Linked DNA regions of Danio rerio. Each later gene encodes a partner of the first gene's protein in a complex. Links are inferred from orthologs where the notes say so. Each region holds a gene or a part of one and is shown on either strand. Other genes may lie near its edges. The genes, in order: thoc5, thoc2, ddx39b, thoc3, chtopa and thoc7.

Region 1 (3,500 bases):
ATATAAAACATGGTAGTGATGTTGAAACACACATTTTGTTAAAACATGTAGCCACATGCTAGGACGCACTAGCAACATGTTAAAATGCATCTCATAATCAATGTATAAAAAAATATGCTAGCAACATAAAACCATTATTGAAAATGTTGCTATCAAGTTTTATCAAATGTAAATGGTTTTAATATGCATTAGAATTATTTTATAAAATGTTATCAAATTATGCTAGTGATGAAAACGTGCTAGTGATGTTAAAACACGCAGCATGTTAAAAAGTTAGCAATCAATAAAAACATGCTAGCAACAGTAAAGTTGATAGCAACATATTAAGACATGTTTTATCAAATTTACATTTTGTTTTAAAATGCTTTATTCATTCATTCGTTTGCTTTTCGGCTTAGTTCTTTTATTAATCCGGGGTCGCCACAGCGGAATGAACCGCCAACTTATCCAGCACGTTTTTACGCAGCGGATGCCCTTCCAGCCGCAACCCATCTCTGGGAAACATCCATACACACTCATTCACACACATGCACTATGGACAATTTAGCCTACCCAATTCACCTGTACCGCATGTCTTTGGACTGTGGGGGAAACCGGAGCAACCGGAGGAAACCCACGCGAATGCAGGGAGAACATGCAAACTTCACACAGAAGCGTCAACTGATCCAGCCGAGGCTCGAACCTGCGACCTTCTTGCTGTGAGGCGACAGCACTGCCTACTGTGCCACTGCGTCGCCTTTAAAATGCTTTAGATTATGTAATATGCATTATGCTTTAATGCTTTTGACGTTGAAACAAGCAGTGTGTTAAAACATGTAGCAACATGCTAGAATGTATTAGCGAAATGTTTAAAAATGCACAGAAATATGCTAGCAACATGATGAAACCTGTTTAAAAAAGTTGCTTAATTCTCTCAATCTGTCTGTATCGATCTAGACAAAAATCTGACTGTCAGCATCCGCGGAGACGTGGATGAAGCTAAAGCTCTTTCCAGACCGCCTGAAGACTCACAAGGTGTGTGTGTGTGTGTTCACTCTGTTTAATAAATGTTTGTGATGTTCAAGTCTTGTTCAAGTCTTTGTGATGTTCAAGTTAAGTCTTATATTTCGCATCCGTTTCTGTCTCAGATGATGAAAGTGATTCAGATGCGGAAGAGGAGCAGCAGAACACGGTCAGGCTGCGTTTTTAAGTCCTTCATGTTTATTATCTTCTAGCTGATGTGTGCTAATGTTGTCGTTTCCGCTCCGTGTGTTCAGAAGCGCAGACGGCCAACTGTAGGAGTTCAGCTGGATGACAAGAGGAAGGAGATGCTGAGACGCCACCCGCTCTCTCTCGGCATCGACCTCAAGTGTAAAGGTGAGAGGAAAAGCACACAACAGGGGAGCCTTTACACTTCTGGGCTTCTCAGCACTGGAAGTTCTTATGGTTGGGTAAACTTATGCTGTGTTCACACCATACACAGCATGCATAAATAAATCACACTATTTGTGTTTAAATAGACGTGGGGTCAATTTGAGTTTACTTCATTCGCGCATCAAATTCACTTTATTCACACGTCAAATTCGCTTTGTTTGCGCGTCAAATTGACTTCACAATAGATGCGGATTTGCGTTATAGGCAGGGCTTCTATTTGCCCGGTGACTCTAGCTTCATTGCTAAATGGTTAACATAGAATTTATTGAGAGAGTAGCTGTGCTTTATGTGCTTTAGGAAGGCTGAAAAACAGCCTTCGTCCACTAGAACCTTTTAGAGGTTTTGTAAGTTCATCAACTCCTCCAGAAACCTGGATGATGGAAGCTTTCAGCGGTGCATCAGAATGAGCCAAGCCCAGTTTGATAAGCTGTTGTCCGGTGTCAGCAGGAGGATTTCCCCTCGGGACACCAACAACAGACTTTGTCTGAATCACGCCCCTACAAGAGTAAGCTCCTGATCATCACCTCTTCATCTGCTTCTGGATTGAACGCACCATTATGCTGCGTTCACACCAGACGCGAAAGAAGCATTAATCGCGAGTGATTTTACTTGAGTCAATGCAAACGCGTGAATAGTCTTCGTGCGGTGCGATACGCGCAACTGGCGGGGCGCAAATGACGCAAATTGCGTGAATGGCATGGCGCAATACGCGCAAATGGTGCGATGCGAATCGCTCAAGTTCAAAAATCTGAACTTCAGCGGACATTCGCGCCGCGTTAACCAATCAGGAGCTTGCTCTTGTGGCGCCTGTTGTTGGTGTCCCGGGGGAAAATCTTTCTGCACACACCAACAACGGTTTATCAAGCTGGGCTCGGCTCAGTCAGAAGCAGCGCTGAAAGCCTCCATCATCTAGGTTCAGTTTCTGGAGGAGTTTATGAGCTCACAGAGCTAGATGCACCTCTGAAAGCATCTAGTGCACTCACACACGGCTCCAAACACATCAACGCTGTTTTTCAGCCTTCATAAAGCGCATAAACAGTTTTTTCTCAATAAAACTCATGTTAGCCATTTAGCAACGAAGCTAGAGTCACCGGGCAGACAGAAGCCCTGTCCACAACGCGAATCCGCGTGAAGTGAATTTGACGCGCGAATAAAGCAAAATGTTCACACATCTTTTTACGTGCGAATAGCGCGATTCATCCGTGCGTTATGTGTCTGGTGTGAACACAGCATCAGAGCGCATTGAATGAGTACAACAAATATATATTTTTGCTAAAAAAACTTTTTTGCTTTCTTCTGGTGTAAGAATGTTGGAAAAACAGCCATTGGGATCTATAGTAGGAACAAAAAAACACAACACTATTTTTAACAGTATTCTTCATTGTGTTTATACAATAAACTTAAATTTAATATAAACTATTACGTTTCATTTAGTGATTTAGATTGTGTGTTGTCCCTTTATTGGACCATTTCCACTGAGTGGTATGGTACGGTACTGTTCGGTACGCTTTTATGGCCGTTTCCACTGTCAAAAGGTATCTAAAAGCGAACCGTACCGTATTACTTTTTGGGTACAAAGCACAACAAAAGGGTACCTAGCACGACAAAAGAATACCAAATGGCGGAGTAAGACACGTAACTGAACGCTATTGGTTTACAGAGATACGCCACAAGCCAGGAGAATGAAAACAAAGGCAGCACCATTTTTAAATACACAGCCGAGACATTACACTGTAATAAGATATACATATAATAACATGCCATGGTCGACCCTAGCTCAAACAAACCTTGTCGTCATCTTGATGAACAGCCACAAAGCCAAGAAGAAGAGCAGAATCTACCCTGTGGCCCATATTTGTTTACAAGGCTATCTAATTCGTGATCGGTTTTGTTTTCCCACTTGCTCTTTCTCGATTGTGCTCGCCACGTGTCTATATTTGAAATAACAATCTTCTTGAGCTGATGATTATAACGTGTGTGTGATTATTGAAGTGCTTCTGACATCCCATCCTTTCAGAAACAGGCAAACGTGAGAGTGAAGTGCAAAAAAACAAAGGAGAAGCCGAAAAAACAAAGGAGAAAAAAAA
Region 2 (3,500 bases), on another chromosome or scaffold:
CGCTAGCTCTCGTGCTCTTGGCAGCAGGCAAAACAAATTTAAAAGATAGGCTTACTCATTCCATTTTCATCTTTGCGGCGTTTGGCTTCCTGGCTCATCTCGCGATCGCTGTTCAAGTAGTCCTATAAGCGTGAAGGGAGAAAGACAGCACAACTTAAAATAGTGCTTTTTAGGCATACTAATAACTGCTGTAAAACTCTTAAAACATGAGGGAATGATATGGCATCTGGACCAATGAAAGAAATATGCTGGTGCATGAGCATGAAGGTCAAGTAATTTAAATAATGTATTTAAGTGTGAATTAAGCTTTCACAAGTGGGATTTGCAATGTTTTGCTTCAATCACAAAGCATGATTCAGCAAAAGGCTTTATTGAGAATTTGTTGGTTTAAGCCTTGTAAAATGTCCTGCTCAATAACATTTGTGATGCTTAAAAACTGCTTCCTCCAATACAGAGGACTTACTCGTTTTCGGTCCTTCCGGTCTTCTTTCTTTTCCCTCTCTTTGGAGCGGTCCCTGGATTTATCAGACTCTTTCTTCTCATCATCCTTCTCTTTGATCTTGGACAGGACTGTGGTGTGGTTAGGATGGTGCTAAAGGACAGATGCAAAGATGATAGAAGGTTAATGTCTTACAGATGGAGCACACTAGCCCTCACAGTGGCCTGCTGCCTTTCATTAGCATGCCCCATTAGAGTTGCACCTGACAATCTGACACACCGACAGGAAGTCCAAGCACTCTATTAAAAGCTCAAGGCCCCTGCTGAACTTACATATGCAATTATTTCATATGACTCACATCAGAGCTACAATGCGCCAAAAAACTGCATGTGAAAAGTGTTCAAGAATTGTGCTAGCTAGCATAAAATCAAAAAACAATCTGTCAACCATTTGGTTTTACACAACAACGCTGCTACTACCATCTATGAATGCATCAAGTTATTATTCTTTAGTAATCAGTGACTTTCAATAAAAAGTGGTATTTAATAAACATGTATAAAATGCTGCAGCTTGATAAATTAGCTTCATCCAAATGGCCTTTAGGGTTATGGGCACAAAAAAAAACACCTGATCTCTTCTAACATGATTAACTGAGCAGTATCTTAATGTAACATTTCAGTGCTCCCCAAGAATAAAACGTATATCTTCAGAAAATCTGCAAACTAGAAAAACAATAACAACATATTCTGTAGGAACTGTACAACAGAACATAATAAAGGTTTTAAAACCTTGACCTTTCCAAACCATCATCCCATGCCTAATTACAACACCACAACTATGTGAACATCACAGACCAAGTGCTATCATGGCCACAGGACAATCACACACTTTTAGAACCGTAGGCATAATTCACCAAAAAAAAAGAAAAGAAACTTACTATTTACCCTCAAGTGGTTCTAAACCTTAATTAGTTTTATTATTCTGATGAACATTAAAGCTATTGTGAAGAAAGCTGAAAACCTGTAACCAGTGATCTCCCTAGAAACAGAAAAAAAATGAAAGCCAAAGGTTACAGGTTTCCAGCTTTCTGGAAATATCTTTATTGCAGTATAACAGAATAACATCCAATATTTATCAGCGGCAGTTGTGGCTTAATGGTTAGAGAGTTGGACTTGGGATTCAAAGGTACATTTTGGCTACTTTTTTTTTTTTCTTTCAATAATATTAAGTATGAACATACTACTCCGCTCATGCTCACAGACATACATACATATACATATATTTATTCAACAGTTCTGATTCTTGAATCTCATTGGCTAAAAGCCATGTCATGTCGGCATCCATCAGTCTGTCATTGAGTGAGCAAAAATGGTTGACATTGTCCATCCATAAGATGGCAACAGAGACCACATAACTCCTTAGAGGAGGAAAGATCAGCATATTTTCAAACTACAGCTGATCAAAACTTTCTAAAATTAGTGAGTGACATTCTAAGTCAATCTCTCTCTTTTTTTATGTTGCGGTGCTCTATTTATACCATAGTAATTGCAGTAGATTGAGTGTGATGGGACTCACATATCAGAAATGTATGCAATTTTGTGTTGGCCACTCTTCGTATAACCCCAAGTTACTTTTTGGTTGGCAATCTGTTTGTTTTTAATGAGTCTCCTGTTTTTGTTACTGCAGACTAGTTACAAGAAAGAAATTGCTGCATTTGTTAGCTTTTCTCCTTATCGCAAACACAACAATAATCTGGTAGTGATTGCGTTGCTTTGGCTTTTGCAAGGTTAATTATTGTGATCTCCCTTTTGCAACCTAAAAAAACTGGCAAATGTCTCTAAAACTAGACCGATGGCCTTTTATGCTTTTCATCCTTATAATCTTAAAATGTGAGCTAAATCATGTTTTGTCATCCCCTTAGACATTACGCTAGAGAATCATTCAAAAACTAGCTCTAAAGTGACGTTGGTGAATTAGTAAACGGCTGTTCTGATGTCAGCTGCTGATGTGAAGGAATGGCGGAAGAAAGTAGTTCCCCTTACAAAAGGATATTTAGACTTGATTTGCTGTTTTATATACACGATTATGCTGTCGAGCTGTTGTAACTCATAGTAGTGCGATGTGGCTGTACATCGTCACTGGTGGGAGAGTAAGACACATGCCTCCCACCAGTGCCTATGTACAGCCTTATCTGCTACTCGTGTGATATTGCTCATATATATATATAAAAGATTCAATAATGTAGGCAAGTATGTGGTTTCAGACGAACTGTAATATTTTGCACATTTTGTATGTCTGTCAAACACACCTGATTCAGACAAACTCTAACTAAAAGTTAGATGCCATTCAAAATATTTACAAATGTAGTGGAGTAAAAAAATACAAAATGTTCAATACAAAATATTTAAAAATGTTGTGATGTACACATTAACTTTAATACTCAGTACAAAGTAACCCAAAATATACTTAAGTAAAATAACCTATTACATGTACTCTAATACTTTACATTAAGGATTCCAAACCTTTTAGGCCATATGCCACACCAAAATTGTGTAATTTCACTTGCATCTACATGTAAACCCGAACTGTAAATCATCCTCCACTGTCACTTATTTTGCCAGTGTACACTCTGAATTCTCTCAGGTTGAAAAGCCATACTTTACAACACTATATCTATTAATGCCTTGACCTCCAAATTCACCTGACTGGAACCCAACCGATACATTTTTTGTTGGGTTCTCACTACCAAACTGTAATGTACAGTAACTGGAGACCTTTTCTGTTCTGTTCTAACTGATATCGGATAAGTCATATTGTTACCACCTCAAATTAATGCCTCACTGCAAAGGTGTTCACAATGCATCGCAGCCCTTACTCAAAAATCAGCATATTGTAGTTATCGTGTGCTACCAGTAGCACACGATTACTATAATATGCTGATTTGCTGCTCAAGAAACATTTCTTACTATTAACAATGACTTTCTTCTGTATTTGTGTGTATATAATTAAGTAGTAGCATTTTTCAAGTTTATTAAAATCACTTAATACTCTGTCATTTAAA
Region 3 (4,210 bases), on another chromosome or scaffold:
GTACAAGCCATTCTCATAACCATGTTCTTTGTGTGACTGAAATGTAGGCAATGAATGACCAAGGCCAAGGTGAGAAATACACTCTGTCTTTAAAAAAGGGGAGGAGACCAACAGAAACTCAGAGTTTAGAGAATAAAACCGGCTCCTGACCAGGTTAGGTTCATAGAGTAAGTTACCACGGTAACTGACTCTGAGTTAAAGGGTAAAGTCTAGATCGGATACACGGCTGGCCGAAAGTGCGATCTGCACATCAATATAGCAGCATTTTGTTATGACACTGTATAACAATAATGAATATTTGTACAATACTGTGACGGTGGGGTTTAGGGTTGGGCTGGGGGAAGGCGTTAAAAAATACAATTTATTGTATAATTTAATAGGTAACGTAAATTATACCCAGTACAACTACTGTTTCTACATTACTTTGTTGGTTGAGTTTAGGGTTGGGGTGAGGGTAGATGTTAATAAAATACAATAAACGGGGGATTTAATAAATAATATAAATAATTCTCTTCACCTTCCAGCCGTAAACATATTCGATCTAGCAACAACCAAGTCAAAGTTACCTCTCTTTCAGAAACAGGCTTGACTTACCCTGCTTTCTCGAGTTTGACAAACCTGCCATTTTAAAACGGAAAACCCAAAATTTCTCTCATTTCAGGGTTAAACATACTCTGAGCTATTACTTAACTTCCTTTCTGAAACAGGGCCAATATATAATCTCATAAAATATTATATAAATTACTTATGACATATTAATCTTACTCTCACCTTGAACAGAGATTTTGAAGGAGCATCGTGGGCAGGTGATAGTATTCAGCCTGCTGGGTAGTGGAAGAATGTTTCCACATTCAGGACAAAAGTCGACATCTCCTCTAAAACACGACATTTCTTAAAGGAGAGAAAAAAATGTTAGTAACTAGACTTTAGTCACCAATAACAAAAATTAACCATAGTACAATAACACAAATAATATAAAAACATGGTAATTTTAGTAAATCACGTAAGAACTACAAACTCACCATGTTTTGCTACACTACCCATAGTTTATTGGTTTTTGACCAAAACTAGTGATTTAAATCGTTTTTTTTATTAAAAAATAAATTGGAGACTACTATAGTATTGCAGTATTATATATTGTATTGTAAAGTTTCCTGTAATAAATTAATAATCTATAAAAACTACACACGCACACATACGTACATACATTTTTTATATAACGTTAATCAAAACTAGAAACTTACTTATAAAAGCGCCAACACGGCGGTCTTAAATATTACCAGATGCAAAAATCTTGCGATATGTACGCTAGTTATAGTAACAAATACAAACCAAATACAAACTTCTCTACAAACTGAGAGGTTTTTACTCAAGGCAGTTCCACATGTTGGGGTCCTTCGTCAAAACAGTAGATTCGTCGCGAGTTGATGACGTTGTAGACAATCTATCTGGCAGGTGCAGTCAAATCCAACTGCTTCAAACAGTGTTTCGAGGTATTTGCGATTATTTAATACTATTAAAAACCACAATCGACATGAGAAGTGATAATACACTTTATATTCCGTCATAAAACATTCAGCAATGTAATGTCGTAGTGTTTTGACCACACGCTGCCTATTTTGGGCTAATGGATTAGCTAACTAAGTGCTAATGTGTTACGTCTTAAATCGTTTGTTAGTTTAAAGCGACATAACTGATTAATTACGGGTGTGTGGGCTAGCATAAAACATTATCTATGAATTAAGTTTTTTTTTGCTATTGTAGTGCTGGAGAATGGGGTTTTATTCTTTAATATATTGTCTTGATTAATAGTTGTTGAAAAGCTACAAGTCTCTAGCTTTTGTGTATATATTACACAAACAAATATAATCGAATACAATTTAAGCAAACACGCTTTTCTAAATCACGTGTATGTCAAAATATTGTGTTCCGTAATCAATTAATTTTGTTTGTTTATTTATTTGTTTAAAAAAAAAAAACTTCTGGCAAAAGGAGAAATTTGTTCTGACTGTGGTTTCACTGAATGATATTGTAGTGTGTGTCTTTTTATCATGGTAAAACAAATTTAATGATATTTCATATTTTTTTTCTCAGAAAAAAATAACAATTAAATAGGACTAATGTAGAGCTGGGCCGATAAACGATATTGTATCGAATTGCGATACAATTTATGTCACAACAATGATAAGCTCTGGACCTTTTTACTCTGTATTGTGTATCTATATACTCTAAATCTATATTACACAGCAGAAATGTGCAAACAATGGGAATATAAACGTGCGTTGATATTAAGCATGGGACAATAGCAGTTTTCAAGGTATACCATAGTTTGACTGGTTTTAATTAATTTCGACCAAATTGTTCTGCTTTACTGTTCCGAAGGTATGTGTGAGATTTTTTATTTACATTTTTTTTTTTTAGGACAACAGTATCTCCAGCAGAAAAGATATCCAAAGATGCCGCTATAAATTGTAAAGAAATCTGTGTTTTGAAACTAATAAAGACATCAGAAGTCAATGATTCATTTGAATTATTTAGCCAGACATGTTTACTGCTCCAAAATACTTTGTTTTACAAAATAAAATGTATTGTTTTCAGATGGGAAATAAACTCAGATATTTAAAAATAATATATTTTAGAGCAGTAATCACAATGTTGTGAAAGTGGGATATTTTTATCCAAGGTTATCATACCGTCAGAATCTTATACCAGCTCATACGTAGTTGATATTAGAAATGTACCGAATCTTCGGCCACCGAAAATGTATCAGTCGAAATTACTTCACGCCATTCAATGGACCCTCTTATTTTTTCTGGCTTTAGTCATTTTTGGAATACTCTTTTAAATCTGGCATATTGACAACTGATATCAAAATATATATCGTTATCGTTCAATATGGAAAATAATTATCGAGATAGCATGTTTGCCTCATTGCTAGAGCTGGGTGATTTGGCCTAAAATCTAAATCTCGATTAATAAAACATTTTAAGTCTATTACGAGTAATGAACAATTATTTTATTTATTTTTTACCCTCACAATTCACTGACAAGTTTTACACAGATAATATGTTCCATATTACAAGTGAGAGATTTTTGAATGAAGGGTGCATTACTTTTTTTAAATAATTGAAGGAAATACACTTACAACAGTAATACAACAGTATTTTTACTTATAAAAAAGTGAAACTAAATAACTTGCATTTTTGAAAACAAAACAATTTATTTTCAGTGCTTTATCATATTAAAAGTAGAAAATAAGCAGTATCTCTTCTAGATAAAAAAAACTTGTATATCCTGTAAATAATTTTTTAAGTAGTGCATTTCTTGAATCTTTTGTAAACAAATATTTTAATGTAAATAATATTTTCTTGTAATAGAAATGTCAAGACATCTCTGGCGGAGCTTCCAATCATCGTCAATGTAATGCAAACTTGCGATGTGTAGTTACATTTTTCAAAAGGCTTGTGGGTATGCAACCATTCAGAGGCTGTGTCAGACCTTATCGATTTAAAAGTATGTTTAAAGCAGAAGTATAAATCAGCTTTAACAAAGAGTAGTCACGTGACTCCACATGCAGTTAATTGAAAAAAGTGTCCTGGAAAAAATTAGATCCATAATAGGTTCGGAATGTCGATTTCAATTACTATACGATTAATCGCCCAGCCCTAGATTAATGAATGAAAAAAATACAATTCTTATGTTGATACGCAAAAAAAAAAAAAAAACTTTCAGCATTACACCATGTGTATATATATATATATATATATATATATATATATATATATATATATATATATATATATATATATTTATGTGTGTGTGCGTGTGCGTGTGTATACATATATATATATATGTATATATATATATATATGTATATATATATATATATATATATATATATATATATATATATATATATATATATACACACACACACACACACCTAATATTGTAGGAGATAAGATAAAATAATGTTTGACTGAAAGAAGTGCTGTCACTTGGATTAGTTTTAAATTTATTGTATGTATTCTCTCCATAGAATGACAGAGAACGATGTTGATAACGAGCTGTTGGACTATGAGGAGGATGAGGTAGATGCTGGTGGTGCAGGGGACGCAGGCCTTGGACACAGCGATGGCATCATATCCATCAGGAAAGAAGGCGTCAAAGGGTCATATGTGTCCATCCACTCCTCAGGGTTCAGAGATTT
Region 4 (4,182 bases), on another chromosome or scaffold:
GTTACAACATCATCCTTGTTACCTACAGCGATGGTCTGACCATCAGGACTCCAGCAAATGTTGATATTCTCCCCTAAACATAGTCAGACAATCAATAAACCAATAAATAATATAATCTCACAAGAATAAAACATATAACATTGAAAGCCATAGCTCAATCCTCAAGAGTTTCTAAAGTTGAGTTTATTTTGTCTGTTAAAAACAACAGAAGATGTTTAGAAAAATGTTGGAAATTGCCATCCATAAAATGAAAAACAAATACTACGGTAGTCAATAAGTAACGATTTCCAATGTTCTTTAAAATGTTATATTTTGTGTTCAATGGTGGGTAAATGATGAGAGAGTATTCATTTTTGTGTAAACTATCACTTTAAGCTTTAGAGCTTCACCTTTTGTGCTGACTGTGGCCATGCATTTGGTGGTCCGCACATCCCAGATGCGGATGGTCTTGTCTCCTGATGCAGTAACGAACAGATCAGGGTTGGTGGGATGCCAGCACAGCTGATCCACACTGTCTCCATGCCCACGGTAGTTGTTTTCCTTCACCTAATACATATGATAATACATGAGCTAGATCACATCTAGTCAAGACAAATAAATTGTAAAATAATAAACCGCATTGTAGCCAATGCTGTGAATATTAACCGTTTTTTCTGATATAGAATAAGTATAGTAATGTTTTTGGCAAATGGATGACCTATAAAAGCTTGTTATTGCAGCTAAAACATAATTAATATGCATAATGTCAATGAAATGATAAGTAATTTTGCAGACATTAAATTAATTAGTAACTTGATTAGGTATTTGCCATTGACTTCTGTACAGGTCTGTCATTGAGATGTCACAATTGTCACAAGATGTCAGTTTTCACAATGTATTCCGATTGTGACAATGTTTATAAACTGGTAGTAATTCATTAGCTACCGATTATCATTAGAAACTAGTTCTTATTCATTAAGTACATACTGAAAAGATACTAGTACATACAACGCCATCTACTCATGTTTATTATATCTTTATTTAACTAGCACATGTTTAATTGAACACTTATACAGTCATCCAAAATAGTCAAAATGTGACAAGTAAAAATAAAAAATAAAAATCAGTAGTGACTCGTAATACTAGTAGCAACTCATAACAACTACATAAAAATACTTGTGCCAAATAAATGAGTACTAGGATACAATAAATAACTACTAGCATCTGTTAAAGAGGTACTTGTAATAAGAATGAGTTTCTAATAAATGATGGAGTATCTAATAAGTAAATACTGCTTTCTAAATAAAAACAAAGCATTTATTAGATATGACAGTACAACTTTACAATAAGGTTTCATTAGATAATGAGGTTACTATAATGAAAAACAACAAACAGTATTTATACATCTTTGTTAATGTTTTTTACTGAAAATAAGCCTCATTGTTGGTTCTTGCCAACTCACAGTGCATTTACTAATGTTAACAAGTGCTGTTTTGCATCAGGAGATGAGCGCTGTTTTGCATCAGGAGATGAGAGCTGTTTTAGATTTTTGTAGGCATGGGATTGTAGGTATAAGATTCTGACAGTAAGATAACCTTGGACAAAAATATCCCGGTTTGACGGTATTGTGATTACTGTTCTAAAATATATTATTTTTAAATGTCAGGGTAAAAGACTAAAAACTTTTTCCCCCTTTGAACACAATATATTTTATTTTGAGAAAGACTTTAAATATTTTAAAACAGTAAACATGTAAAACAAGTTTGCATATCTTTTCTGCTGGACACACTGTTGTCCTAAAACAACAACAACAAAAACCATAAATTAAAAAAAATCGTACATATACCATAGGAATGGTATAGAAGAAAATGTTGGAGGTTTTAAAACCTTGACTTTTCCTAACCGTGGTATACCTTGAAAACGGTTATTGTCCAATGCCTGAATGGAAGTGCTGTACAAGTTTTGTTTATTATTAGGTTATGCTGGTAAATTAGTTAACATTATCAATGGAACCTTATTGTAGAGCGTGATCACTTTGTGTGTCTAACAATTATACACTAGTACATATTGAAAAAGCCCTTATTTCCAATAAAATCCACCCAAATATCAGTACTTGCAGAATAACTAGTCATAGTAAAAATATGTACTAGACAATTATTAAAAACCTCACATTCCAATAACAGACTGCGATAGAAGTAGTTACTTGACACTTTTGAAATAAATACTAGTATGAAATAAATGAGAACAAGTGTGTGATGATGAGTAAATAGTATTTAAACAAAAATATACTATTCATACGTGTCTAATTAATGAGTAGTACCTATTTAATAGCTACGAGTGTCTAATTTATTGTCTAAAATGAATCTAAAATTCATCTAATGAAAACTAACTTGTAGTAGTAGCTAAATAATAACTGTTGGCTAAATATCAACAAGTGTACTGAATACGTATCAGTACTTAATGAAAAAGACACACATATCTAAAAATAGGTATTAACGTTAGTAGCATAAAACTGATACTAGTTTAGTTTACAGATTAAATGTTAAACAGCTTGTTCTACGCAGAACGTGGTTTATAAATTAAATATATGTTTTGGACAACGAAGGATGATGGAGAAGACAAAGCTCACCAGTCGGTCTTTTTCCAGGACAAATACGCTGGCAGTTTTGTCAAACGAACCGGACGCCAGTCGTTTTCCATCACAGCTCCAGGCCACCGAGTGCACTTTAGCACTGTGAGCCGGGAACTCTCTGCTTTTATTGTTATTCCTGAACACCTCCTGCATCTCCTGATAGTACGAGGACGCCATGCTTGAAGTTCTGCTTCGTCGCGTATTTAAGCTTAATCTGTGGCATTGCGTTACTTACCGACACCTAGTGTACGGGAGTGCAATTACATAATATTGTTTAAAAAAGTCTGATACAAATAACTTTCTTTTCTTTTTTTAGTTTTATTATTGTCAGGGTAACAATAACATCATCATACATTTGTTACAAAGAGAGCACATGAGTTTTACAGAGAAGTAAAACATCAAATAAGCACATACAAGGGAAAAAATTTACTAAAAAACAAACAACACATATTATAAAATCATGTGTTTTAAGGAAGCAATAGTTTTAATGTACTGTTGAAGTTCCTTTTCAAAAATATTAAAACAAAATATAGCCTAGAGTGAGAGAATTTACAGCTGTGTATATGGAATTTAGCAAGGATTAAAAGGAGATTAATTATGAAACACTCCTTACTTTTATTATCGGGAATATTGAAAAAACCCAACAGGATATCCTTAAAAGATAACACGAATTAGTATTTTGCAATGAATAACCAAAAAAAAGTTCAATCCAAAAGCATTGTGCATGAGGGCAAATAAAAAACAAATATATGATCAGCAGTTTCACTAGGGATACAAATCTTAAATTTAAAATGATGATATAAAATGAAAAAAAAATCACAAAAGTAAACATTATGAGATAAACAGTTAACAGTGAAGAAATTTTATTATTTTTTTTTGTAAAAATTGCTATTAGGTTAAAAAAATGACAAAATATGAAAATGTGCTAATTTGTTATGAATGTGATAAATAAGTTGAAATGATGGGGTAAACATTGTGAGATGAAAATCCTAAATCAAATAATGGTCAATTAAGAGAAGGTCAAAATTATATTATATCTCATAAAAATGAAACAAAAGGTTTGTATTATGCCAAAAGTTCATATAAGTGTGAAGTACAATCATAGGTCTACCAAATCTAAGTAAACTAGGCTAGGCTATAGGCAAAAAGCTTTGAAAACATTGAGATAAATAAAAATGTCAAAACTGTCAAATGTCAAAATCATGGAATATGAGCTATATATAATTTAAGCCAAAAGCCTCATTTATAAATCAGATCATTTAAACTTCAGTCAGTGGCCTACTGTGTTTTATGTTGTTTGTTAAATTGTCTTCTCGTGTAATGGAAGAACTCAAAGTCAGGTCACTGTGGTAGGCTACTTTGGATGGTTGTAGGAACTTTAGAAAGTCAGGAGTAGCTACATATAAAAATAAAGTTTATTTTCTGTGTACTTTGTGTAAGTAGTTTTGTCATCAGTGTTTTTGGTAAAGAGGACATCAGTTCGCGGGCAGAGTCCATGGTCAATCCACGTACAGCGCTGACTCCCACTGACCACACGGCGGAGCTCCATCCTCCTAATAATATCCAGTGCA
Region 5 (3,994 bases), on another chromosome or scaffold:
TCTCTTCACAGTCTAATAGTAATGATTACAGTAAATGATCTAAATGTATTTATATGTATTTTTATATTTTGGGTAAGGCATAAAACAAAAAAATGTTCATCCTATTAAATGGAGTCCGACCGACATCTCTCAATTCCGATAAGTAGCACAATCTCTTTGCAAGCAAATGCAGATTTGAACAACTGCGCAGCTGTTTGTACGCATCTCCGCCGACTGAGATCGGTAAAAACATGCTGAATCAAAACTTTTTAAAAACCTGAATCAGTATTGGAGTTACCTTTGCATGCTGGAGAAAGGATGACAACATGTCTGAAAGATTTCTCTTAGACAAGTAATGTTCTGTTTTAAAACTGTTTTAACTTCACGCAAAGCTGATGTAACGTTGTTACAAATGGGTTAAATCTTAACAGAAATGTTGTTCAGCTACTAAAATATTTCGATGAAGGACTGATGAGACTATTTTCAGTTTCATAAGAGACCTTTTACAGCATCGATGATGTACATTTTATTTAGTTTAACAACTAAACACAAGTAAATACAGCTAAACGCCTAGTCTCTCCCTATATTGTTTACCATGCAACTCTAAATATTCCCTCTAAAATCGCATGTCAGTTTGGCTTGCACGCCGCCGGACAAGCACTAGTTGTTTTTAACACATGAGAGAGGGTTCTTTTGCGGTGCTCGTGTTTCAGGAGGCGTAGCTCTTAGACGGCAGGGGAGGCACTGTGATTCAGAGATTTATGCTAAGCTGTTAGCATTGTAGAAGATCACCTACTGCAACTTTAAGTTAAAGGTTTGATACTGATTAGCACTTGCAGTAGTGATGAGGTCTTAAAATATTCCGAGAAGGTCTTTTAAACCGTTTTAAAAAGGTATTGAAATTACCTTTTAGGATTCTTGCATATACCCTGTTATAGCTCTTGGACCAGGGTGAGATCAACCCACACTTTCTCCAATCCCTGGGGCTCTATGATGGTTGTGGATATTTCAAATTGAATCATAACAAATGATTACAATTGACTGAGATTGTCATTGAACGTTCGCAAATGTGCTTTAACTGGCAGAGCAGCAAAATCTCTCTCTCTCTCTCTCTCTCTCTCTCTCTCTCTCTCTCTCTCTCTCTCTCTCTCTCTCTCTCTCTCTCTCTCTCTCTCTCTCTCTCTCTCTCTCTCTCTCTCTCTCTCTCTCTCTCTATATATATATATATATATATATATATATATATATATATATATATATATATATATATATATATATATATATATATATATATATATATGATCAGACCTGCTTAAAGAGAACTATTGCATGCATCCCACAAGTGTTTTTTCTTTTCTTCTTGTGAAAAGATTGCTCTTTTTTTTTTTTTTTCCTAGGTGCAGGTCAGATGAGAGGTAGAGGTGGTCCTGGACGCATGGGTTTCCGCCGAGGGATGCGTCATCGGGGAGGAGCTCCAGGACGAGGAGCTCTAGGAGGTCGAGGTGCAGCACGTGGAATGCCTGGAGGAAGAGGTGAGAAATATTAAGCACAATTCTGCCAAGTACAGGGTTCTTACGGGTGCTGGAAATCCTGGAAAATGCTTGATTTTTAATATAGTGTTTTTAAGGTTAGAAAAGTGCTTGTGTTTTGAACAAAGTGCTTGAACCTGCTTGAATTTGAACTTAAAGGGCTCAAAATTGTGACCGTTTTGGTTGCATATGCGCACGATTTTATCTATGTGACCTCGAAATATATTTGGAAGCATGTGTGCTAGTGCATAAATTGTTGTCGTGCGACCAGTTTTCATTGCAAAATGTTCACCGCATGCGCGTATTTATGGAGCTAATAATAAGCCAAAACATTCTGAATCTGAATGTCCTATTAAAAAAAGTTTTGAATTTGTATTTCTTAACTTGATTATTGAACATCTGAAAACTTAATATTTGAAGTCAGATTTTTATAGACATTTTTAAACTTCAGATTTTTTTTGGGTTCTGAATTCATGCAGATATTGGGTATGTAAAAATAAGACTGCAGATATTGGGTATGTAAAAATAAAGTTTTACGTTTTTAGGAATTCAAATTAACAATTCAAATTCGGATAGTTTTGGCACTATTAGCTTCATACGTATTTTGGAGACATTCATCCAGAATGCATCTTTTGCACCTGAAATGCAAAACCAAAGACTGTAAAAAAAAAAAATAGTGACTGGTCCTGAAAGTTTGGTACTACACCCAAACAAAATCTGACTGTAAGCTCATTTCTTAAGATATCAACTTTAGGTAGAAAGAGGCCAAACTTAAAAACATACTTCACCCAATAACTGAACATTTTTTTATTTATTTTTTAATCACTTTTGGGTGAACTATCCCAATAAATCTATGCTCTAAAGTACTCAATTTAAGTTGAAATGTCATATCGTGTGGTTTTTAAAGTAGCACAATGTATTTAAATGTGAAAAAGTACATACAACATGTATAAGTGCAATTAATTATTACTATTAGGTGCTGGAAAAGCATGCAAATGCACCTTGAAAGTGCTTGAAAAGTGCTGGAATTTGAAGTTGGAAAAGGTGTAAGAACCCTGCTAGTAGTGTTTTCAGTTTTGCTCTAATCAGTGAAACCCATACAAAAAGCATTTTCCATCTCACCATACTAAAGCATTTCGTTCTCTCTTAGGCCGTGGAGGTATGAGAGGCCGTGGAGGGTTTGCTGGAAGGGGTCGTGGACGTGGCAGAGGCAGAGGAGCAGGTCGTCCCATCGTCACACGCGAGCAGTTGGACAACCAGCTTGATGCGTACATGTCTAAAACCAAAGGCCATCTGGATGCAGAGTTGGATGCGTATATGGCCCAGGCAGATCCTGAGAGTATGGAGTAGACCCTGTTGAGCTGAGACACAGCAGCTCCCAAAGATCTGCAAATAATAGACTGATCGATGACATAATCATCCAGTACCGTTTAAGCTTCCGCTGCTGTTGGACACTCCCTAAGACATTTACATTTTAAGGCGTTCAGACTTGAAGTTTGTACAAAGTTATGAATTTATCCCAGTTACATTCAGAGATTTGAGAGTTTTCACTCGCGGCTTCTGAATACAATCACAAATCCTCATCACAAGTTATAGTTCTAAAACAGAGGGCCTGTTAGGAAAAATGTTGGCTGTTAAGTGAAGGAATTTTGTTGTTGATTGAACTGTAATAAGAGATTGTACCTCTGCTATTTTTGGCTGAAATTCTGAAAATGGCCTAAATGTGTGAACAGTGAACTCCAAATGACATTTGATGACTCTGTGGTAAAAATGTGGCTTGTGTAAATGAACAGATGTTAATGACTGTAATGTTCTACACGTCACTTACCTTTTTATTATTATATTTTTATTTAGTATTTTTTAAGGTAGAACTTTTATTCATTACATACAGTCTTGTTTTTGTCAAAAAATGTTTTAACTATATTGTAACCCACAAACTTTTTTTTCTTTTTTCTTTTGGCATCGAATAAATCTTGGCTAATAAGATCTTGTGCTCTGGAGGACATTATCATTCTAGACATTCATTTTCATCACCGGGAAACATCCATCCATACATATACACGCATACTCTGCGGCCAATTTAGCTTACCCAATTCACCTGTACCGCATGTCTTTGGACTTCTGGGGCAAACGAGAGCACCCGGAGGAAACCCATGTGAACATGGGGAGAACATGCAAACGCCACACAAAAATGCCAACTGACTCAGCTGAAGCTTGAAACAGGGACCTTGCTGTGAAGTGATTGTGCTACCTACTGTGCCACTGTGATGCCCTCTTTCTAGACATCATTAACATGAATGATCATGTGGTATTCACTTTTTTTCTTCTTTTTTTCTCTTCTCCAACATGTTTTAATTTTAGTCTAAAAAGTAGATACAAAAGTGGTTTATGTATGCTTATTAAAAAATGTATAACTTTTGTTTCTGCTTATTTGGTAATAAAAAAAATCATTTGAATGTTTAAATTGTGCATGCTGCATTTCTCTC
Region 6 (4,228 bases), on another chromosome or scaffold:
ATGAATAGACTTGGGTCTATTGCTATGTGTGCACCAATGTGTAGAAGGTTTATATATTTATAACCACCTCAGAGGATATTGGGGGTTGCCTGTCACTGGCATTGTTATTTTGGGGCTCGCGAGTTAAAAAGTTTGGGAAACCCTGACCTACAGGTATACCTTGTATGATTACATAGAATTTTTTTGCAAATAATTCCTTTCTGAAATATAATTATTATATAATAATAAAATTATTATGGAGAATGTCCAAGATGTCCTAAAATCAACTTTACCTCATTCTCAGTCAAGCAAATTTAAAATATTTAAATTCACATTTTAATTCATGTTGAATTATTTTCATATCTACGTAAAAAGCTTTGTATTCATAAACTGAATCATAATGGCACAAACTGAACTGACGAAGCAAAAGAAAGATGGATTTTAAAACGTCTTATTATTTCATAATATACTATGTTATATGTAGCCTATGTAGCCAGAGGGGGTTCAGAAAAAAAAACCCTTACTGACAAATGTGCAGAATTTTTCCCATTCATGAGCTCATATGTCGTATTTTGACTGCTACATGCCATCATAAATAGTAAAAATAACCAATTAAAAAGGCATAATCCTCTGTTGGCTGTTGCTTCGGTGTGACTTCAGCAAATCAGTCTTGGTCAATGCTAACAAATGTTTTTGATGATCAACATCTAGCTGTGTAGGAAATCACACAATCTGACATAAGTGACGTCATCTTTCGCTACTGTTTGTAAACAGAGAAAACGTTTTACAAGTAACTTTTGTTCTAAATCTTGGAACTTATCTTGAAACTAAAAATGAGCAATAAAAAGGGTGGCCTATAGTAAAATTGATTTGAATACTAATTAGGCTATTGTTATCCTTAATTTTCAAATGCACTTTTTAACATGTAAGGCTAGAAAATTGTAAAGCTTTTATTATTATTATTTTTTATTATTGAAATGGCCAAATTCTGACTGAAGAAATTGAATGTGCTGGCTAGATTGTTATTTGCCTAATAAATGACACTAGACAATAGTTTTTAACTTAAAACTTTTTCAGATTCCTAATGTATTTTTAAAAAGCTAAATCATGATTCATAACTGAACTGACGATATTGCTCAAACAAATTGACGAGTCTTGTGGAACCACACTTTAAAACGAACTGTTCAAATGAACCGATTCGCGAAAATGAATCTCATTTCTCAATACTGTCAAAAACTAAACTAACTACCTACTAATACAGTATTTCTGAAAGACACGCTATCAGTCGACTAGTCTAAAACGAGTTTTCAGCAAAACATTTAAATGACTTTGTAATAATAAAGTAAAAGCTAGCCGTTCAGAAAACTGTTGTGAGCTCGGCGGGTTTGCTTCGCAACAGAGGCGGGGCGCTGATGCCTTGCGTGTCCGCGCGCGCCTGACAATAAAGTTTTTTCTAACAGTCCAGTTAGCCTGCTGGAGAATGGGTAGCATTACTGATGGTAAGATTTTCCTTTGTTTTATTTTTCTTAACTATCATGTAATTGTAATTTATGTAGCAAATCTGAAGGAATTATTACAGTAGCGTACGTCCATGTTTTTATTTCCTGGAAACTAAACGAACTCCTTTGAAATGTCTACATGAGGAGTCTTAGCTAACAGTTAGTTAGCCACATGCTAAAACTGATTAACTAAAACAAGTTACAAGATGTATAAGTATAATTTATTACGCTGACTTTGGTTTTGGATAGGCATTACAGTGATATAAAATATATTGGTAAGTATAATATGTAAATACGATAATATGAAAATTTGATGGCACCCTTCTGACACTTTTCAATGTTGGATCAATCAGTTAAATCAAGCATCAAGGTTGGAAAATAAACTGATTTTTTGCTGAATTTAGAGATTTACTTTGTTTCAAAAATAATCAAGCAGAATATATATATATATATATATATATATATATATATATATATATATATATATATATATATATATATATATATATATATTGTTCCACATTTAGTCACTGAATACAATTTACAGTATAATATCTGTGCTATGCTATTTAGACCTATATTTAGACTAAATAATATCTATGTCTCCTCCCTCACAGATGAGGTTATTCGGAAGCGTCTTCTGATCGATGGAGATGGAGCTGGAGATGACAGACGCATTAATGTGCTCATGAAGAGCTTCACCAAATGGTGCCACTCCAGTTTCTCACCAGAGGAGGGGTAATTTACATTCTGGTTTAACTTTATATACCTGACTTGATAAGATTTTTTTTTTCTTTTCCTTTAAAATATTCCACTGATTAGTTACCACGACCTTGGGTGTAATTACTTTATCATTCATATGTGTCTGCAGGATGTCTCAGTATCAAAGAATGATGATGTCCTTGGCTCAGTGTGAATTCTCCATGGGGAAAACCTTGCTTGTGTACAACATGAACCTGAAAGAAATGGAGAATTATGAAGGAATCTATACCGATATTGGTAAGACTTCTTGTTGACTTCCCTGCTTTTTTCTTTTGGGTTGATTGGATTATATGCTGACAAGGGAGACACATTCCTGTTTGCACTCATTGTTTTAATCTACATCTTTTGACTATATTAAATATTACTTTGAGGGCAGGATATTAGGCATGGGCCGGTATATGTTTCTGACAATATTATAACCTTGGATAAAAATATCACGGACACATGGTATTGTGATTACTGCTCTGAATTATATTCTTTTTAAATGTCTGGGTAAAAACAAAAACTTTGAACACTATATTTTACTTTGATAAAGATTTAAAGTATTTTGGAGCAGTGAATATGCCAGGCTAAATAATTCAAAATGAATCATTGATTTCTTTCCAATTTAAAACAACCTCTTTGGATATCTTTTCTGCTGGAGATACTGTTGTTCTGAACTCTATTTATACCGTAGCAAGAGTAAAGCAGAAATTTAGGACTTTACTTTTCCAATGCGCAGTATACCTTGAAAACGGTTATCATCCCATGCCTACAGGATAAAAGGGTGGGTGTTTGTGTAAGCTTTTTCAATTATTTCTAATATCGCAAAATAACCTTGCATAATAGAAAATGATACAGAGTGCTGCAGCCTTCATTTCTGCTCTGGTGGCTACAAAACTACACCAAATTCAGATCAGTGTGTTAAATCTGTGAATTGTTTATCGTAGACTCTCTTTGATCAAATAATTTGAATCAGTGAATCATTCAAGGGAGATACTCAGACTGAAAACATCATTCAAATCAGTTATTTGTTGACTCGTAAACATGTCTATCCAATTCGCAAATTAATTGTTCAGTGCAATTTGTGAATTGATTTAACTGGCTAACTGATAAAATTCAGCTTGTTCACGAATCAAGTTGGATTCAAAAGTGCAGTATTTTGTTTTGTATTCTGATTTTCAATCAGAACTTTTCAATCTGCCTTTTATCAGTGATTTTTATGGCGAGTTCAGACTGCATGATTTTCAAAGTAGTCATGTCACAGATGTTTTCACCCTGTATGACTGTCGGGGGTAGTATTTCATCGCTGCTTTGTTTACCCTGCAAGATGGATTGGCAACGGGGGGTTCACACTGTATGATTTAGAATAGGAAGAATTGGCGACAACTTTGTCCCGGTCTACAAACTACATCTCAAAACCAAGCACAGAAGAAGTGACATGGAAATAATGTAGTATATCTTTTGTCATGAACTATATAATGAGAATAAAGCCTTTAGTGGGGTAGAAAATTTACTTATTTTGCTCACTTGGCCTTTAATAGGAATTAGCAATTTCTCCTCAACTTTTTCTTTTTCGACCCGGTTGCTCAGATGACACTTCAAACAGAAACGGGTGCTCCTGCCAAATTTACACTAGTTGTTCCTCCATTTTTTGGGGTCCAAATAGACAAAATAGAAGCACTTTTAACTTGTTCCCCAACCTCCCGCTGGCCTGCAGATTTCACACGGCATGATTTGAATCGTCGACAGATCCAGCTGTTTAGCACACTGAATATCTCACATGTGTCTACGACACATCACCGATTCTCTCCGATTGTGTCTTTGATAGTTCATACTGTGTGGTTGATACTTGCGTGAATGAGTACCTATTTGCCTGTGATTTCAGGCATTTTTTGCAATTTCTTGAAACCTGTTGTCGAGTCAAAAATCAGGGCTAAAATCATGCAGTTTGAATTTGGCATTATTTTGCTGAGTGTTCTGTATTTTTATAGTTATTATTTTTTTGT

Evidence for each region.
Region 2: thoc5 (region 1) and thoc2 share a complex: the UniProt entries of both Homo sapiens proteins name them as parts of the transcription/export (TREX) complex. The link is inferred for Danio rerio from reciprocal best matches to the Homo sapiens genes THOC5 and THOC2.
Region 3: thoc5 (region 1) and ddx39b share a complex: the UniProt entries of both Homo sapiens proteins name them as parts of the transcription/export (TREX) complex. The link is inferred for Danio rerio from reciprocal best matches to the Homo sapiens genes THOC5 and DDX39B.
Region 4: thoc5 (region 1) and thoc3 share a complex: the UniProt entries of both Homo sapiens proteins name them as parts of the transcription/export (TREX) complex. The link is inferred for Danio rerio from reciprocal best matches to the Homo sapiens genes THOC5 and THOC3.
Region 5: thoc5 (region 1) and chtopa share a complex: the UniProt entries of both Homo sapiens proteins name them as parts of the transcription/export (TREX) complex. The link is inferred for Danio rerio from reciprocal best matches to the Homo sapiens genes THOC5 and CHTOP.
Region 6: the proteins of thoc5 (region 1) and thoc7 are in contact, whole or in part, in a cryo-EM structure (PDB 7APK), measured with the Homo sapiens proteins. The link is inferred for Danio rerio from reciprocal best matches to the Homo sapiens genes THOC5 and THOC7. Residues at the interface, in NP_001002877.1 of Homo sapiens: Pro48, Asp51, Tyr52, Tyr55, Cys59, Leu62, Gln63, Met66, Ala67, Gln70, Phe95, Lys99, Leu101, Asn102, Ala105, His106, Arg108, Leu109, Gly112, Arg113, Gln115, Thr116, Ala119, Lys120, Val123, Tyr126, His127, Leu130, Leu133, Glu136; in NP_079351.2 of Homo sapiens: Ala21, Asp23, Ile27, Leu30, Val31, Phe34, Tyr50, Met53, Leu54, Leu57, Cys60, Glu61, Met64, Gly65, Thr67, Leu68, Val70, Tyr71, Asn74, Met78, Tyr81, Ile84, Tyr85, Ile88, Glu89, Ser91, Ile92, Ala95, His96, Lys98.

What each region holds. Positions count from the first base shown.
Region 1 is NC_133200.1:4,392,251-4,395,750, forward strand, and holds part of thoc5 (THO complex subunit 5 homolog), read left to right. Parts: intron 1-936; coding exon 937-1,014; intron 1,015-1,127; coding exon 1,128-1,171; intron 1,172-1,256; coding exon 1,257-1,356; intron 1,357-3,500. UniProt on the Homo sapiens protein: Component of the THO subcomplex of the TREX complex which is thought to couple mRNA transcription, processing and nuclear export, and which specifically associates with spliced mRNA and not with unspliced pre-mRNA.
Region 2 is NC_133189.1:13,039,634-13,043,133, reverse strand, and holds part of thoc2 (THO complex subunit 2), read right to left. Parts: intron 593-3,500; coding exon 464-592; intron 123-463; coding exon 56-122; intron 1-55. UniProt on the Homo sapiens protein: Component of the THO subcomplex of the TREX complex which is thought to couple mRNA transcription, processing and nuclear export, and which specifically associates with spliced mRNA and not with unspliced pre-mRNA.
Region 3 is NC_133194.1:29,755,195-29,759,404, forward strand, and holds the start of ddx39b (DEAD (Asp-Glu-Ala-Asp) box polypeptide 39B), read left to right. Parts: upstream 1-1,410; 5' UTR 1,411-1,493; intron 1,494-4,039; 5' UTR 4,040-4,040; coding exon 4,041-4,210. Other genes in the region: polr1h (DNA-directed RNA polymerase I subunit RPA12), read right to left, coding at 772-889. UniProt on the Homo sapiens protein: Involved in nuclear export of spliced and unspliced mRNA. Component of the TREX complex which is thought to couple mRNA transcription, processing and nuclear export, and specifically associates with spliced mRNA and not with unspliced pre-mRNA.
Region 4 is NC_133189.1:29,777,475-29,781,656, reverse strand, and holds the start of thoc3 (THO complex subunit 3), read right to left. Parts: upstream 2,801-4,182; 5' UTR 2,789-2,800; coding exon 2,609-2,788; intron 547-2,608; coding exon 390-546; intron 74-389; coding exon 1-73. UniProt on the Homo sapiens protein: Component of the THO subcomplex of the TREX complex which is thought to couple mRNA transcription, processing and nuclear export, and which specifically associates with spliced mRNA and not with unspliced pre-mRNA.
Region 5 is NC_133194.1:26,306,949-26,310,942, reverse strand, and holds the end of chtopa (chromatin target of PRMT1a), read left to right. Parts: intron 1-1,376; coding exon 1,377-1,511; intron 1,512-2,658; coding exon 2,659-2,858; 3' UTR 2,859-3,494; downstream 3,495-3,994. UniProt on the Homo sapiens protein: Plays an important role in the ligand-dependent activation of estrogen receptor target genes. May play a role in the silencing of fetal globin genes.
Region 6 is NC_133186.1:21,694,068-21,698,295, forward strand, and holds the start of thoc7 (THO complex subunit 7 homolog), read left to right. Parts: upstream 1-1,428; 5' UTR 1,429-1,459; coding exon 1,460-1,478; intron 1,479-2,095; coding exon 2,096-2,216; intron 2,217-2,349; coding exon 2,350-2,477; intron 2,478-4,228. UniProt on the Homo sapiens protein: Component of the THO subcomplex of the TREX complex which is thought to couple mRNA transcription, processing and nuclear export, and which specifically associates with spliced mRNA and not with unspliced pre-mRNA.